2 linked regions of the Daphnia pulex genome follow. The protein of the gene in region 1 purifies or fractionates together with the protein of each later gene. This does not show direct contact. Links are inferred from orthologs where the notes say so. Each region holds a gene or a part of one and is shown on either strand. Other genes may lie near its edges.

Evidence for each region. Proteins that work in one complex are often made in the same cells at the same time.
Region 2: the proteins of glucose-6-phosphate 1-dehydrogenase-like (region 1) and histidine--tRNA ligase, cytoplasmic-like fractionate together in Homo sapiens (co-fractionation; 3 studies listed by BioGRID). This does not show direct contact. The link is inferred for Daphnia pulex from reciprocal best matches to the Homo sapiens genes G6PD and HARS1.

What each region holds. Positions count from the first base shown.
Region 1 is NC_060026.1:14,992,758-14,999,419, reverse strand, and holds the end of glucose-6-phosphate 1-dehydrogenase-like, read left to right. Parts: exon of another isoform or gene 1-363; 5' UTR 364-697; coding exon 698-716; intron 717-1,664; coding exon 1,665-1,789; intron 1,790-2,466; coding exon 2,467-2,831; intron 2,832-2,897; coding exon 2,898-3,699; intron 3,700-3,769; coding exon 3,770-3,930; intron 3,931-4,009; coding exon 4,010-4,109; 3' UTR 4,110-4,360; downstream 4,361-6,662. Other genes in the region: pro-resilin-like, read right to left, coding at 5,449-5,730, 5,785-5,886, 5,950-5,955. UniProt on the Homo sapiens protein: Catalyzes the rate-limiting step of the oxidative pentose-phosphate pathway, which represents a route for the dissimilation of carbohydrates besides glycolysis.
Region 2 is NC_060022.1:4,992,922-5,000,716, forward strand, and holds histidine--tRNA ligase, cytoplasmic-like, read left to right. Parts: upstream 1-3,933; 5' UTR 3,934-4,095; coding exon 4,096-4,188; intron 4,189-4,296; exon of another isoform or gene 4,297-4,359; coding exon of another isoform or gene 4,360-4,422; coding exon 4,423-4,863; intron 4,864-4,931; coding exon 4,932-5,138; intron 5,139-5,204; coding exon 5,205-5,499; intron 5,500-5,563; coding exon 5,564-5,829; intron 5,830-5,894; coding exon 5,895-6,107; 3' UTR 6,108-6,173; downstream 6,174-7,795. Other genes in the region: OTU domain-containing protein 7B-like, read left to right, coding at 72-242, 307-434, 499-750, 885-1,080, 1,154-2,691. UniProt on the Homo sapiens protein: Catalyzes the ATP-dependent ligation of histidine to the 3'-end of its cognate tRNA, via the formation of an aminoacyl-adenylate intermediate (His-AMP). Plays a role in axon guidance.

The DNA.
Region 1 (6,662 bases):
GCAATTCAACTTATTTCAATCGTTTTGTTTTTCTCTTTCCATTCCACACCAAAGCCTGGCTGCTATTTATTCTTATTACCGTGCCACCCATTAAGACGTAAACTAATAGCAGCCAATTGGTTCGTGTTTTATTGTCTCCTTCCTCACACATGATTGATTGCCAGCGTAAAGCAAAGACCATCAGCACCTTGTTTGGACAGCTTCTACGGTAATTAGTGAATAATTGAATCCCAAAAGACTTTCTTCAGACTATCACTTGCAACTAGTAATTAAATAGGACGTCCAACGATCGTATCTTTTATCTCATTTTTTGTTTCGCAGTCCATCGCGCAGGCGAAGTGAACGGGGCTTTTTTCTTTGCAGGAGGGGCGCGGCGAAAAACAGACAGACACGCACGCACGGTGGCTCGATATCAACAAAAACCAGCACGCATTGTAGTCTCATTTCGTATACGGCCTTCCGAACGACCACAGTTGTTGAATAACGATTGCTGAGCACATACAAACCGACTATACACACAAGCGGTGTAGTGAGTGTGTGTGTGTAGCGACGCATTAAAAAGGGGCCGGCTCGAGAGATAGTTGTCTCAATCGTTGGCAAGACGGGGTCCTTAGCTAGTTGCTGTGATAACTCGGTAGTTGTGCTTCATCCAACGACTCTTCAACACCGTCACAACAATCAACCAACAGACGACGACATGGGAACTAAAGTTGGAAGTATAAAATAAAAGTTTTTTCCCTTTTTATTTTATGTCTTTTTACATATTCCTGGGCTCGGTTTTTTGTTGTTGTGTGTGTGTTTTGTATAGTTCCATTTGAAATTTACAGCCCTTTATTTTATTTTTTTCTTGCACGTAACTCGTGGGAAATGTGTTGTTTGTCCTCTCACACTTTTTTTCTCGTCTTTTTTCCTTAATTGGACGAGATTGGATTACGGCAACCACCGAAATCTCCAACTGTTTCAATTTGACAAGACCCAACGTGTGGATTAAGTGTTTCATTGTAAGAAAAAAAAAATTCCTCCTTCATTCCGAACGAAAAAGATTCGTTTATTTATTTCTTTAAAAAAGGAAATAGCCAGAAGGCATCACATTCCTATATCTTCTCTCAATTGGGTCCCTTCTATTTTTCCTAGTACCGTTAGAGACCGCCTCGGTAGATAGTTGTCTCACACGTCTCACAAAAGTTGTTGTGGATGTCGGTCGATTGCGGAGAACAACGTTGAAAAGGAGGGGGGAGAAAGATGGACGATAATATCCAGATCATTGCTAAATGTGGAAGTGGTGGCCAACCACACCCACACGCTCGGCAGTTTAAAAATCCATTTCGAATTGGCCGTAGAGAGAAGGAAGGAAAAGGAGACCATTGTTTTAACCTCGTTGTCTGCGGTAGAATTGAAATGATTTAGAAAGCTCGAAATTTTGACTAGTTTTTTTTTTAAATTTCAATATGCATAAATTTGTTGTTGTTGCGGTGGCGGAGTCACAACTTTCGTGTGCAGCGGTATCATCAGTATTTCCGTAACGATCTAACCTCAATCTCTTTTTTTTTTTTCACGGATAACACATGTTATTGTTTTTCACGCAATTGCCCCACTAATGAAACTACTGTCATTTCACACGATTTTAATATCATTTTTTCTTTTTTGGTTGTTATTTTAATCAGGAGATTCTTCGTCGTCAGAGGACACGCTCGCTCTCATCCGCAAGTCGCTCCGCTCCGTGCACATGTCTCAAGCGGAGGTTTTTGAGGAGACCCTACCTCATAGTTTCGTCATCTTCGGGGCTTCGGTAAATGAAACTGGTTTTTAAAAATTTTCTTTAGCGACTTTGTCGGCGTCCCACTGGGCAATTCATCTTCCCCGGAATGATCGGCCAGCTCTCTCTCTTTATGCCAGTAGTCACCTGGCACCGCAAAAGCGATCGTATTGTAAATGCATAAGAGAGTGAGCGCTGCTGAGCGAGCACTCGACGCTCCGTTACACGCCACGTGAAAGTGCCCTCAATTTTGCTCGCTACTCCGCCACGTTCGCGTTTCTTTTGTTCAGAAATTCCCCCCAGTTCGATTCGAAGAAAAAATAAGAACCGGTTTTTTTTTTTAACACAAGTACAAACCCCAAAAAAAAGTTTAATTTGAAGTAGTAATAAAAAAAAAACTGGAAAAGCAACTTTAATTGCGGGTTGCCGAATCTGTTTTTTTTTTCTTTTGTTTTATCGTCTGGCTAATCGCCGCACAAACGAAAAAAAAAAAGTTACACGCTTTATTTTAATTGCACATTGTGTGGGAGAAACAAAAACGTTTATTTTTTTTAATCAGATAAGAGATAACAGAGTTATGGAATTTTTCTTTCCTCCCGACAAATGGTAGAAAATTGGAATTTGCGCATGTCCTCTCACTTTCACGCACTATTGATTTAAATGATTGTTTTTTAATTGACATGTTGATTATCGTTATTCGATGCAAACAGGGCGATTTGGCGAGAAAGAAAATCTACCCGACCATCTGGTGGCTGTACCGCGATAATTTATTACCCAAGAACACAATCTTCTATGGCTACGCCCGTTCTCACATGAAGGTGGAGGAGGTGAGAGCCAAGAGCCACCAGTACATGAAAGTCAAGGAGGAGGAACAGGAGCGCTACGAGGCTTTTTGGGAGGCCAATCGCTACTTTGCGGGCGGCTATGACTCCCGAAGAGATTTCGAAATGCTCGATCAGGAGATGATTCAGCACGAACGTGGTCCAGCCGCCAATCGACTCTTTTACTTGGCCGTCCCACCGTTCGTTTTCGAATCCGTCACTGCCAACATCCGCAGTTCCTGCATGGCATCCAAGTATAAATCTTTCATAAATTAATTCAAAGTTCATGTAAATTTAATTCATTTTTTTGTTTTTTCCAGGGGCTGGACTCGAGTGATTGTAGAAAAGCCGTTCGGTCGTGATTTGGAATCGTCGGCTCATTTATCGGCTCATTTGGCGGCTTTGTTCCGTGAAGATCAAATCTATCGAATCGATCATTATCTCGGCAAGGAGATGGTCCAGAATTTGATGATTCTCCGGTTCGGCAATCGACTGTTCGGTCCGACGTGGAATCGTGAGAGCATCGCCAGCGTTCTCATCACTTTCAAGGAACCTTTCGGCACTGAAGGCCGTGGCGGCTACTTTGACGAGTTTGGCATCATTCGTGATGTCATGCAGAACCATCTGTTGCAAATGCTCTGCCTGACGGCCATGGAGAAACCGGCCTCGACTCATCCCAACGACATTCGCGACGAGAAAGTCAAAGTGCTCAAATGCATTCCGGCCCTGACGATGGACGATGTCGTTCTCGGCCAATACATTGGCGATCCCGAAGGCCAGGGAGAAGCCAAGGAAAGTTATCTGGACGATCCGACTGTTCCGAAAGACTCCACCACTCCGACTTACGCCTCGGCCGCTTTGCGAATTAATAACGAGCGATGGGACGGTGTCCCGTTTATTCTTCGCTGCGGAAAGGCGCTGAACGAACGGAAAGCCGAGGTTCGGATCCAGTACCGCGACGTACCCGGTGACATCTTTCAAGGGCAGGCCAAGCGCAACGAATTGGTCATTCGCGTTCAGCCGGGAGAGGCCATTTACGTCAAAATGGTTACCAAAACACCTGGCATGAGTTTCGACATGGAAGAGACCGAGCTGGACTTGACGTACGGCGCTCGTTACAAGGTAAATTCTCATTGAATAATGAACAGGATTTTATTCATTGATTAATTGTTATATTGTCTGAATTGCATAGCACGTCAAAATGCCGGACGCTTACGAACGGTTGATTCTCGACGTCTTTTGTGGATCTCAAATGCATTTCGTTCGATCGGATGAGTTGGCCGAAGCCTGGCGCATCTTCACGCCCCTCTTGCACCAAATTGAAGGGGAGAAAGTCAAACCACTACCTTACAAGTTCGTTAAAACTTTCACTTTGTTTTGAGTCTTCTTTTTACTGACGTAATTATTTTTTAAAAATTTTAAATGGAAAAAGGTATGGATCGAGAGGCCCGAGAGAGGCTGACGACTTGCTGGCACGCAGCAATTTCAAATACTCTGGCTCGTACAAGTGGGTGAAACCTTCGTCCATCTAAAACGACGACATTCCGAACAACGAACATTCCTGGATCTTTTTTTTTTTACACTTCATCAAAATTAATTGAAATTAAGCAGAAAGCCTTAAATGATTTAATTATATACAGGTCTATCTTGGTTGTCCTTTTTTTAAACAAAAGATGGTAAATTTTATGTTTTCTTTCTTGTTTAAGGGGTGGAAGCGAATGTTCGGTCTCTGTATCTGGCAGATTCGTTGAGCTCAAAAATAAAGAAAAATTCTATTCCTTAATGCTAGGTAAACTTTCCTTGTTCTGTTTGAAGGAGCTGGGAGTTGGCCACAAAACATTTGTTCACCCTCACCGAATTCATGGTTCCGTTCAGATGGACATCCAGCGTCCATCCGTAGCTCTTGCAGTTTCTACTAACAATTGTTCTTCAACCACTCAATGCGTTAGCTGACTTGTTGAGTGGTTTAATATGATTGGTGGAGGTTGAAGAACAAACCGCTCAGGTGTTGCATCGTCAAGTCCCTCATCCACTTTCCCTTAACAGTTCAGCAGCCCCCCACAAGTTTGTTGGAGTGTAGAAAAGTGTTGCAACGTTTCGGTCACTTTTTGGTTGGAATATTTTGTTTATCATGGGCGGATCCAGCCGTCCGTAATTGAAATCGTTTCCGCAGATATTTGGTTCCAAATGTTGCTCATTTTGGCGATGATTTCCGGATCGTTAATTTGGTTGCCCATTGCGGTGACGTCACACTGTTTTATTTACATTAAACCAGCATAAAGTATCTGACTGAACCCAACGGATGCGCTTATATTGAAAAAGAACATCAAGCAATGGCGTTCTGGAGCCAAAGCATACAATCTCCATCGCTTTCTCAGATTTACTATTCAGGATGATCGTAAAACAGGTATTGACTTTTTGATTTCAATTTTACATAGTAAATTTACAAATTACTTTTCCTGATTCAGTAGGGCATTACTAAACATTTACGCTTCACGGAGAAGCACGCAACAACTTTCTAGCTGAGGACAACGTCACGGCTCTGCTTCACGACAATCGAAAGTTAATGTAGATGCGCATCAATGCAGTGTCCTCATCCCCCAATAAGTATGGGACTCGATCTTATTTATCTAAAATTCAATCAAGTTATTGTCAATTTTCTTGTTTTATTTAGGCAATTCTTCGATTATCTACTATTCAGCTACGTATTTCTGTTTCGTCAGTGAACTTGCGCTACTTTGTCGCTTTATATTTCCATTCCATATATTACAAGATTTATAGTAACAAACTTACAACCAATGAGGCATTTAGGGATCGGAGAAAACGCATTGGTTCATTATGTTCCTGCAGATTGTCGAGTGTTCGGGCTATTTAAGCACTTGGGTATGGTTTAGATTGTTCAGTTTGATAACTCGCTGGTTTGTTGCTGTATGAAGAAGGTGCGGGATACTGGGCCTCTCCTTCGTATTTGACTTCAGCGACGTATCCGTTTTGGTCGGCTCTGTAGGTGACGATTTGGGTGCGGCCGTCGGGCAAGGCAACGCGGTAGGATCCGGTCGTGACTTTGCCGTCGCTTTCCTGTTGGTGCGAGTAGTCGTTCTTGCTCGGCTCGTCCTTCACTTCCCAGGCAAACGAGTGCGGCATAGGAGCGTGCTATGGAAAATCAAAATTTTTAATTTGAACACTTGAACGTTATTTTTAATTTACCTGCTGTTCTTCGTAGGATGACTTGGCGGCATTGCCGGCGTACTGTTCCTGTCCGACTGTCATAACGACAGCCAACGAGACAAGGGCGACGATAGTTTGGACCTGTTTACGAGCATTAAACTAAAATAAAAGTCGCAATCATTTGAGTAATAAAATGAACAAGACCTGCATGTTGGTTGGTGAAGCTTTTGGTAGGAGAATCGAGAATCGACTGATGACTTTTACCCAGTCGACACAGCCGTTTTATAGTTACACTTTTACACGATGGCCAAGGTGATTCTCGATAGTGTGGTCAAGACGTGCGACTGAGATTATTATTGGAAAGAAAAGGGAAACTTGTCAGGTAAAAGAACAAGAGCGACAATTACTTTTGAACGTTCACTTTTGTGGTTGCATACCGTTATATACGTCAAAACTTTCATCCGGCGTTGTAATACTATGGGAGAATTTTCTATTCGCTTCACCTTTCCCTTAGTTGATCCATTGACATAATGTTATTACTTGCTAGAAATCTTGGCTTTTGGGGTGTTAGAAAATAATGGTATTTTCGGCTGATTATTGCTATCCGCTCTTTTGCAGTTGAAATAAGATGAAACATTACGAATTAACTGTTGCCGTCAAGGAGCAAGGAGTATTTGATTCTAGAACCCTCGTCAGAGCTATAGACTCTGCCCTCGTCCAAAAATGGGCGAAAATTGAAATATTGCTTCATTGGTATCTCTGGTCGGTTGTGTAGCAAGTTGAGAGGATTTTCTCTTATGGGATTACCCATTTTATAGTATTACTAAAGTTTATTAAATTTTTAACTAGAAATATTGTGATCAACGTTGAGATTTCACACAGTAATTTCACTGTTGAACGTTATTAGAGTTTTGATC
Region 2 (7,795 bases), on another chromosome or scaffold:
TGAGTGATAATACTCAATTAATGGTTATATATTTTTATTATGGTTTAAACAACATAATTTTTTTTCCATAGATGAGTTCCGTGCGTTTCTTGAAAATGAGTTGATTGACACCTCTATGGCTGTGTCGTTGCAAGAGGCTGTCCGTTTAAACTGGTGGACATGTTTAGGTGAAGGATGCGAGAAACTATGGCCGCTGTCGACAACAGGGGACGGCAATTGCCTTCTCCATGCTGCGTCTCTAGGTATTTTTCATTGTTTTTCCGTGTGATAGAATAATTTGATTTGAAATGTTACTTATAATCACAGGAATGTGGGGATTTCACGATCGACTTCTTATACTGAGGAAAGCACTGCACAACTTTCTGACCATGGGGACATTTCGTCATGCCTTGTGGAGGAGGTGGAGGTGGCAAAACGCTCGATCCAACCTCCAAGTAATAATGTTTTGATCCCAATGTTTTATGGTGCCGTAAAATGATTCGATTGAAACTATTGCAGGCGGGATTGGACTTGCGTCTAAATGAGGAAGAATGGCGACGAGAATGGGAAAACATTCTGAAGCTAGCTAGTTCTCAGCCGAGAACATCTGGTTCATCTACACCAAGTGCATGCGAAACGGAAACCGATGGTCGCGGAGAATCCTTTAACACCTCGAGTAAAACTTACGAATCCCTGGAAGAGATACATGTGTTAGCATTAGCCCATGTTCTCAAGCGGCCTATTTTTGTCATCGCGGACACTGTTTTAAAAGTAGGCGATAAACAGGCTCACATGATTCATGTCACGCCTATCACTCACGAAGGATCTAAGCTGATTACGACTGTCTGGCGGCCTTCTTCTGAGCTTTATTTTAAAACGTTTTTATTGGTCTATATCTCATCCAGGATGTCAATGGAGAGGACCTCGCACCTATCCCATTCGGTGGCATCTACCTTCCGCTGGAGATTGAGCCTAGTGAATGCAGCCGGTCGCCTTTAATTTTAGCCTATGACGCTGCTCATTTTTCAGCTTTAGTTGCCATGGCGCCTCAGAAGAAATTCTCCCCGACCACTTGCGAACAAGTTCATGAGCCACCTGCCGGTATTTTCTTGTTTATTCAGAGCCAGCTTTTGTCACTGTTTGGAAATTGGTTTTTCTTTTTAAACTATTTTAGTTATTCCTCTGGTGGACGTGGATCGTGAATTATTGCCCATCCAGTTTGAGGTGGATCCAGGCGAAGCGTGCGTTTGGAACCGGGATGAATTCAATGAGGCTGTTGTTCAACGGGTTGCCTTCACGCATGAGGATCGTCTTGCGTTGCTGAACCAGTTCCTTGATTTAGTCGACATTCCGTGTCCGGCAGTCATTAAAAATAGCAGCTCTAAAACTTCCAAAGTCAAAAATGATACCAAAGCAAATGGAACTCTCAGTCGTCCGTCACACGACACGGAAGGATGGAGTAGTGATGGCGAATTTAATGGGGCTCGATTTGGTCCATCCGGGCCTAAAGCCCCTGGCAAGCAGCTACACTACAGTGTAGCTAAACAATTTGGCAGTCTAGGGCGTTCCGTCGGTCGCAAGATAAAGAAAAATTTGATTGACAACTTCACCCTGAAGCATCCGCTACCGTCGCCAGCCCGCCTCAATAATGTCCAATGGGAATGTCCGGATTTCATACTGTGTGCCCGTCTGCATACCGAGAAGCACCATCCTTGCCTCGAGCAGATGATTAGCAATTACATGCAATCGGCTCGTCATAGGTTTGAACAGCAGCAGGCCGAACGTCAACGTCAAACGCTTGTCTGGCAGCGCCGGAAGCAGCATACCTTGGCCGAAATGGCCATCCAAGAGGGACCTAGCCCTTGCATTAATCCCAACTGCTCCATGTACGGGACTGCTCTCACCAGCTACATGTGCACGGCCTGCTACGCAAAACAACTCGAGCAGGAAGAAGAAAGGGCCAAGAATCTGAAAGTGGCTGCTACAAAATCAAACAGCTGCGGCAATCAAAACGCTCTGTACGGAATTGGGAAATCCGTGTTCTATGCCCAATCAGACAGCCAATCTTACGCCGATGCCACCAACATTCCGGCGCGCAGACCACCGAATGGACAAAACGGGACGCTGTATCTCTCGAATTCTACTTTTTACGGCGACGGGAATCCGCCCAACTCGGCAACACCTTCTCCTAAAATCGAGGAAAAGGTTGTTTTCGAGAAGATAAGTCCTAATATTTGTGAAAAGTTTAAACAGCCCAGCGTGGTGGAGCCAGTCGGGCAACAAGCAAAAGCGACCACACCAACCATGCCGACGATCATTGCCAAAGTTTACGAGCGCAACGGAACCCATAAACCAACTGAAGAACTGATTGATTTGAGGCTGGATCATCCTGAAGAACAACAAAGGCCAACACATCCGGTCCGCCCGCCCAGACTTTTACAGCAGCCACACAAAGGGGTGGCAGGAAATTCTCCTGTGGACGTCGAGTTACCGCGCTCTTCCCCCGTAGTTGAGAAAGTTGTACCGCAGCCTACGTCTCGACTTTTATCTCATTATGATAGCATCCGCAAACAGTGCAAATCAACCGGATGCACCTCGTACGGCATGGCGAACACCCAGTGGTTTTGCTCAGATTGTTTCTTTATCCGAAAGAAAGCTGCACTGGCTAGGGAGTCCATCCTTGAAGATCTGAAAGCGGCGCAAATGCAATAGTGAAAACGGAAGCAAATAATCTAGACTAATTATCCAAAAATTTCAGCCTGACTTTGTTCATATAATCGACTATTTATGACTACAGGGATACCGTTCCTCCAAAACTATTTCCTTACAAATACCAGTACGTTTTTGAAGAAAAAAAAAATAATTAGTAGCCAACGATTCAACTGATTGCCTTATTTTTCATGGATAGCGTCAAGCTTTTCTCGTTATCTCACGCTTTGAAACGAATTTTAACGTGAAATTGCAATGTCAGTGAATTGCGGTTGTTTGTTTTGTGTGGCTTTACAAGTGGGCGGGTTCTGGTTCCATGCAGTTGTTTAGTCTCAAAAAGATTGGCTGAGTCACTTTTTAGTCGACACGTTCTTTTATTGAGAAATGTAGCTTTCTTCGATTGGATTTGTTCATAGTTGTAATATCGATTTCTTCAAACAAATGTTGTTTGCGTATTATCAAGTCCTTCTCTCTCCGCGTTTAAAAAAATCATTTCCGTCGCGTTTTTATTTCTTTTCGTTCTTTGTAGCATGCAAATCTCTCTAATCCGGGATATGAATGTTTTCTCATTTTTCCACATCACTAAGATGATCTGTCTTGATCAAAGAACGTCATATCTGGCATTTATTATTTCGATGTAGCTTGTTGATGACTATATATATATACGTATATATAAATGAAGTAAAGTAAATACACAACTTGCTCATTCACTAGCGTCTAGATGTGAAAAAAGGTTACGTTGTAGTTGTACTACTAAAGAAGAGCCCAATACAATTAAAAACGAATAAGTTGGTATGATCATCTGGGATATGAAAGGCGTCACGCACATCCTGTATCACGCAGTCGTCGCTGCATAGTACTTAAAAAGTAAACTTTCAGTTACCATGACCCGATTTTGGAAGAGCATGCCAACTATAGGTGGATCGCGCTCACATTAGTATATCTTCTAAAATGTCAGGGGACGTATAAGAAAAATAAGCAAAAATACATAATATAAGCAAAATACAATCAAATATTTACGAATAACGGGGTAGGTACGGTACACTCGCTGTTTTTTTTATAATTCAAACTTGTCTAGACGGATCATTTTTTTTTAAATGCTTGCAGCTTAAAATTCACAGTTGTAAGGTAGGCTAGTAATCCGAAGAGACTCAAGAGAGTACAAATTACGATATGCATATTTACGACGGATTTACCCGGTCGGGATTATTTTGGTTCGTTCGTTCGCAGACAGAAGTTCATTCAAGTTGCATACTTGTCTGATAGGTGGTGGGGTTGTAGCCAGCCAGCTGATGCAATGTGCACATTGTAGTACTTGCATTTGATGTAATTATTCGTGCAATATTCTTTCATCTACTATTCCGGTATTTATTGCAATTAGTAAATAGTAATCTCCACACTTAAATCATGGCAGATGCCGGTAAAAGTATCGCCGACCAGATAAAAGAACAAGGAGAGATCGTTCGAAAACTCAAGGCGGAAAAAGCCGGCATTGACAAGGTATAAATTAAGTTTCCATTGCTGACCAGCACATTGTATAAAAAAGTTATCAAAGGTTTTTTTATTGGTGGAACTTCAATTCTTACAATTCTTCCACACTTTTCAAAGGTGGTTGAATCTGTTGCATAGTTTCCTTTTCTATATTGTCAGTCTGCAAAGTGTTGATTGAAAATGAGACTTATCAATTTGATGCCCGGTGCTTATTATAAACTATTCCGCTGCCTTTCTTCCAAGATCACAGAGGAAGTCTCTAAACTACTGGCACTGAAGGCTCAACAAGGAAGTGACAAGGATGAAAAATCCAGTGGCAAATTCGTCCTCAAAACAGCCAAAGGAACTCGTGATTTCAACCCAAGGCAGATGGTGATCAGGCAGCAAGCTTTTGACAAAATTATTGCATGCTTTAAACGCCATGGTGCTGAGACTTTGGACACACCGGTTTTTGAACTGAAAGAAGTCCTCACTGGAAAATATGGAGAAGATTCCAAACTTATCTACGATCTGGCGGATCAAGGAGGAGAAATCCTTTCACTTCGTTATGACTTGACCGTTCCCTTTGCTCGCTTTTTGGCGATGAACAAGGTTGGATCCATCAAACGGTACCAACTCGGCAAGGTGTACAGAAGAGACAATCCTGCCATGACCAAAGGAAGATTTAGGGAATTTTTCCAATGTGTAAGACTCTTTTAATTAAGCAACTTGTTGCTACTGATATTTTAATTGTACCAATTGTTTCTTTCTAGGATTTTGATATCGCTGGCCCAACTGATCCTATGATTCCCGATGTCGAGTGCGTCAGAGTGGTTACTGAAATTCTCGATTCGTTGGATTTGAGCGAACACATCGTCAAAATTAATCATCGTAAAATTTTAGATGGCCTTTTCGAAGCTTGTGGTGTTCCTGATACTCAATTTCGAGCTATATGTTCCTCAGTTGATAAACTAGATAAGGTACGATATTCTGTTTGATACTAGAATTGCATATAAACAATTAATAAAAACTTTATGCATTTCTAGTCGCCTTGGGAAGAGGTGCGTAAGGAGATGACCGATGAGAAAGGTCTAGCACCTGAAAAAGCTGATCAAATTGGACAATACGTTCTTCGTTCTGGCCAAGATGACTTGGTAGAGCAACTGTTAGCCGACCCCAAATTGAGTTTATCCAAGTCGGCGATTGAGGGCCTTGAGGCTTTGAAATTGTTCTTCAGATACGCAGAACTCTACGGAGTTAAGAAGCGTGTCAAGTTTGACATGAGTTTGGCCCGAGGATTAGACTACTACACCGGGATAATCTACGAGGCTGTGTTAACAAGTATTTTGTATATATTTTTTGTACATTAAAAGACAATCCTATTTAATATCCATTATTTTGTTAGACCAAAACCCTGAAGAAGGAGTCGGTTCGATTGCAGGTGGCGGTCGTTACGATAATTTGGTTGCACTATTCGATCCTAAAGCAAAGGCCGTCCCGTGTGTCGGTGTTTCGATCGGCATTGAGCGGATTTTGGCGATTTTGGAGAACCGAGAGGCCAATCTTAAATTGCGAACCGTCGAAACCCAAGTTTACGTTGCAGCTGCGCAAAAGAATCTCTTGGAGGAAAGGATGAAAATTTGTGCTGAGCTCTGGGACAAGGAAATAAAGGTTAAACGACGTGCTAATTAACACCTAAAGAACATTTACTAATGCAATTTTATGTATCGTTGCAGACGGAAATGTCCTATAAAGCTAATCCAAAGTTGCTGGGGCAATTGCAGACTTGCGAGGAGCAGGGTATTCCCTGGGCAATTATTATTGGTCAATCGGAATTGGAAAAAGGAGTGGTCAAACTGCGTCACGTCCCGTCTCGTCAGGAAGAGGAAATTGAACGTTCGAAATTGGCGGACGTGTTGAAGCAAAAATTGAACGCTTCCATTGTTTGAAGATCACCTTTTTTTGCCAGTGCAAAAGATTCTATCTTGAAATAAAGATATTTGGATCTACTGAAATCCATCGTTTTATTTGCTGATCCGATGAAACGATTGACAACCAATTACTTTAATTTACTCTGCTTATTATATATAAATGGGTACATTTGTTTAATTAAGTGACGAGTCTTACTTTGAACACCTGATCAATCAACTATCACTAATGCCTGACGTAACTTAGTAAAGTGACATCATTAAAATTGTATTCCATCCTCAGCAGACTGTGGGGCGTTACTGACGGGAAGGGGGGGGGGGGGTTATAGAGACAGGAGTGACGAGGGCTTTCCTGTTTCCGGATTTCCATGAAACCTCATAAACGATGCTTGTATGTTGCAGGTGAAAACACATCTGCTCCGTATCTCAAGGGACAGTTGCTATAGCGTAGAACAAAGAAGAAGATCGTGCTCAGTACACAACGGTCGATATTCTTCTGGGTCGCTCGTCCGTCAACTACGAACAATGAAACTCATTTGATATTCATGAGTCGGCCCACGCCGAAGAGTCGTTTTAATATTAGAACAAGCCAACTGAAATACGAGCAATAACCAGAAAAACTGCACTTGTATTTGCCATGAAAAGTAATGTTCATCACATGTTACTGGATAGCAGAAATATGTTTTGCTGTATCATCGTCCCGAATTACGTCAGGTTGGTATAGTATGGTCACATTGATCACATTACATCGACATGTCACGGTAACAAAAGGCAATACAAATAATGAAGAAAGAAGATGCTTTCTACTTAAACTCTGCCTTTACAGCTGCCTGTACATATATATATATATAGGCTACTACCTGGAAAAATGATAGAAGACGAGACTGATAGCCGGCATATTTTTAGAAGCAGAGGTTAGTCAGTTAGTGAGAGTATATTTTTCTAGCCATAAAGGAAGAGGATAAACATTTCTTCGCTAAAGAGAAACGATCGTGTGGACTACTTTGTGACACCATTCAAAGCCAACGCAAACATTTTCGATCGGCTAAAAATATTTCCAAAAAGTCATCCCCCCAGAAAAGGGGGGTGGCGTGGTCTTTTTAATTCTCGCGGATCTCGCCACCGTGCGCAAGGAGTTAAAAACCGAGAAGAGGCTTCGCTAAGCGTCTATGACGCCTTCCCTTCCTCCTTGATTTTTGTTAGGGAAAAAAAGCGTTTTACAGTAACTTTTCTGGCTTATTCAAAGATATTTACAAGACACAGTCGCCCGCTTCTTCGACTGTTCACAAGAACGGGCAAATGTCAACTTTGATTCACATCCAACCGTTCGGTAAGTTACATTTTTAAGTTGTAATTCTACGTTGTCTATCTCGCCCATGCCAGGCTGTGTGTGAAGTTTCCCTCCATCAGGCATCTACTTCCATGCGAATCGATAAAACTCATTGTTTAATCATACCCAATCCTGCCTCCATTTTTGATCGACACGCTATTCAACGTCGTTGAAGAGCTGTCTGATCACTTTATTGACATTTCCTTTCTGCAGCTCAAATGTGGGATTCATGTAGTTTGTCAGGGGACGTTAAATTTTTGGTTTCATTAGTAGACGATGTGGGTTTGAATTGGCATTCTCATCTTGTCTCTTGAGCATCGAAATGCCTTCATCAAGAGACAAACCCTGTTTATGTGGCTTGCAATAGCAGGGCTATGTA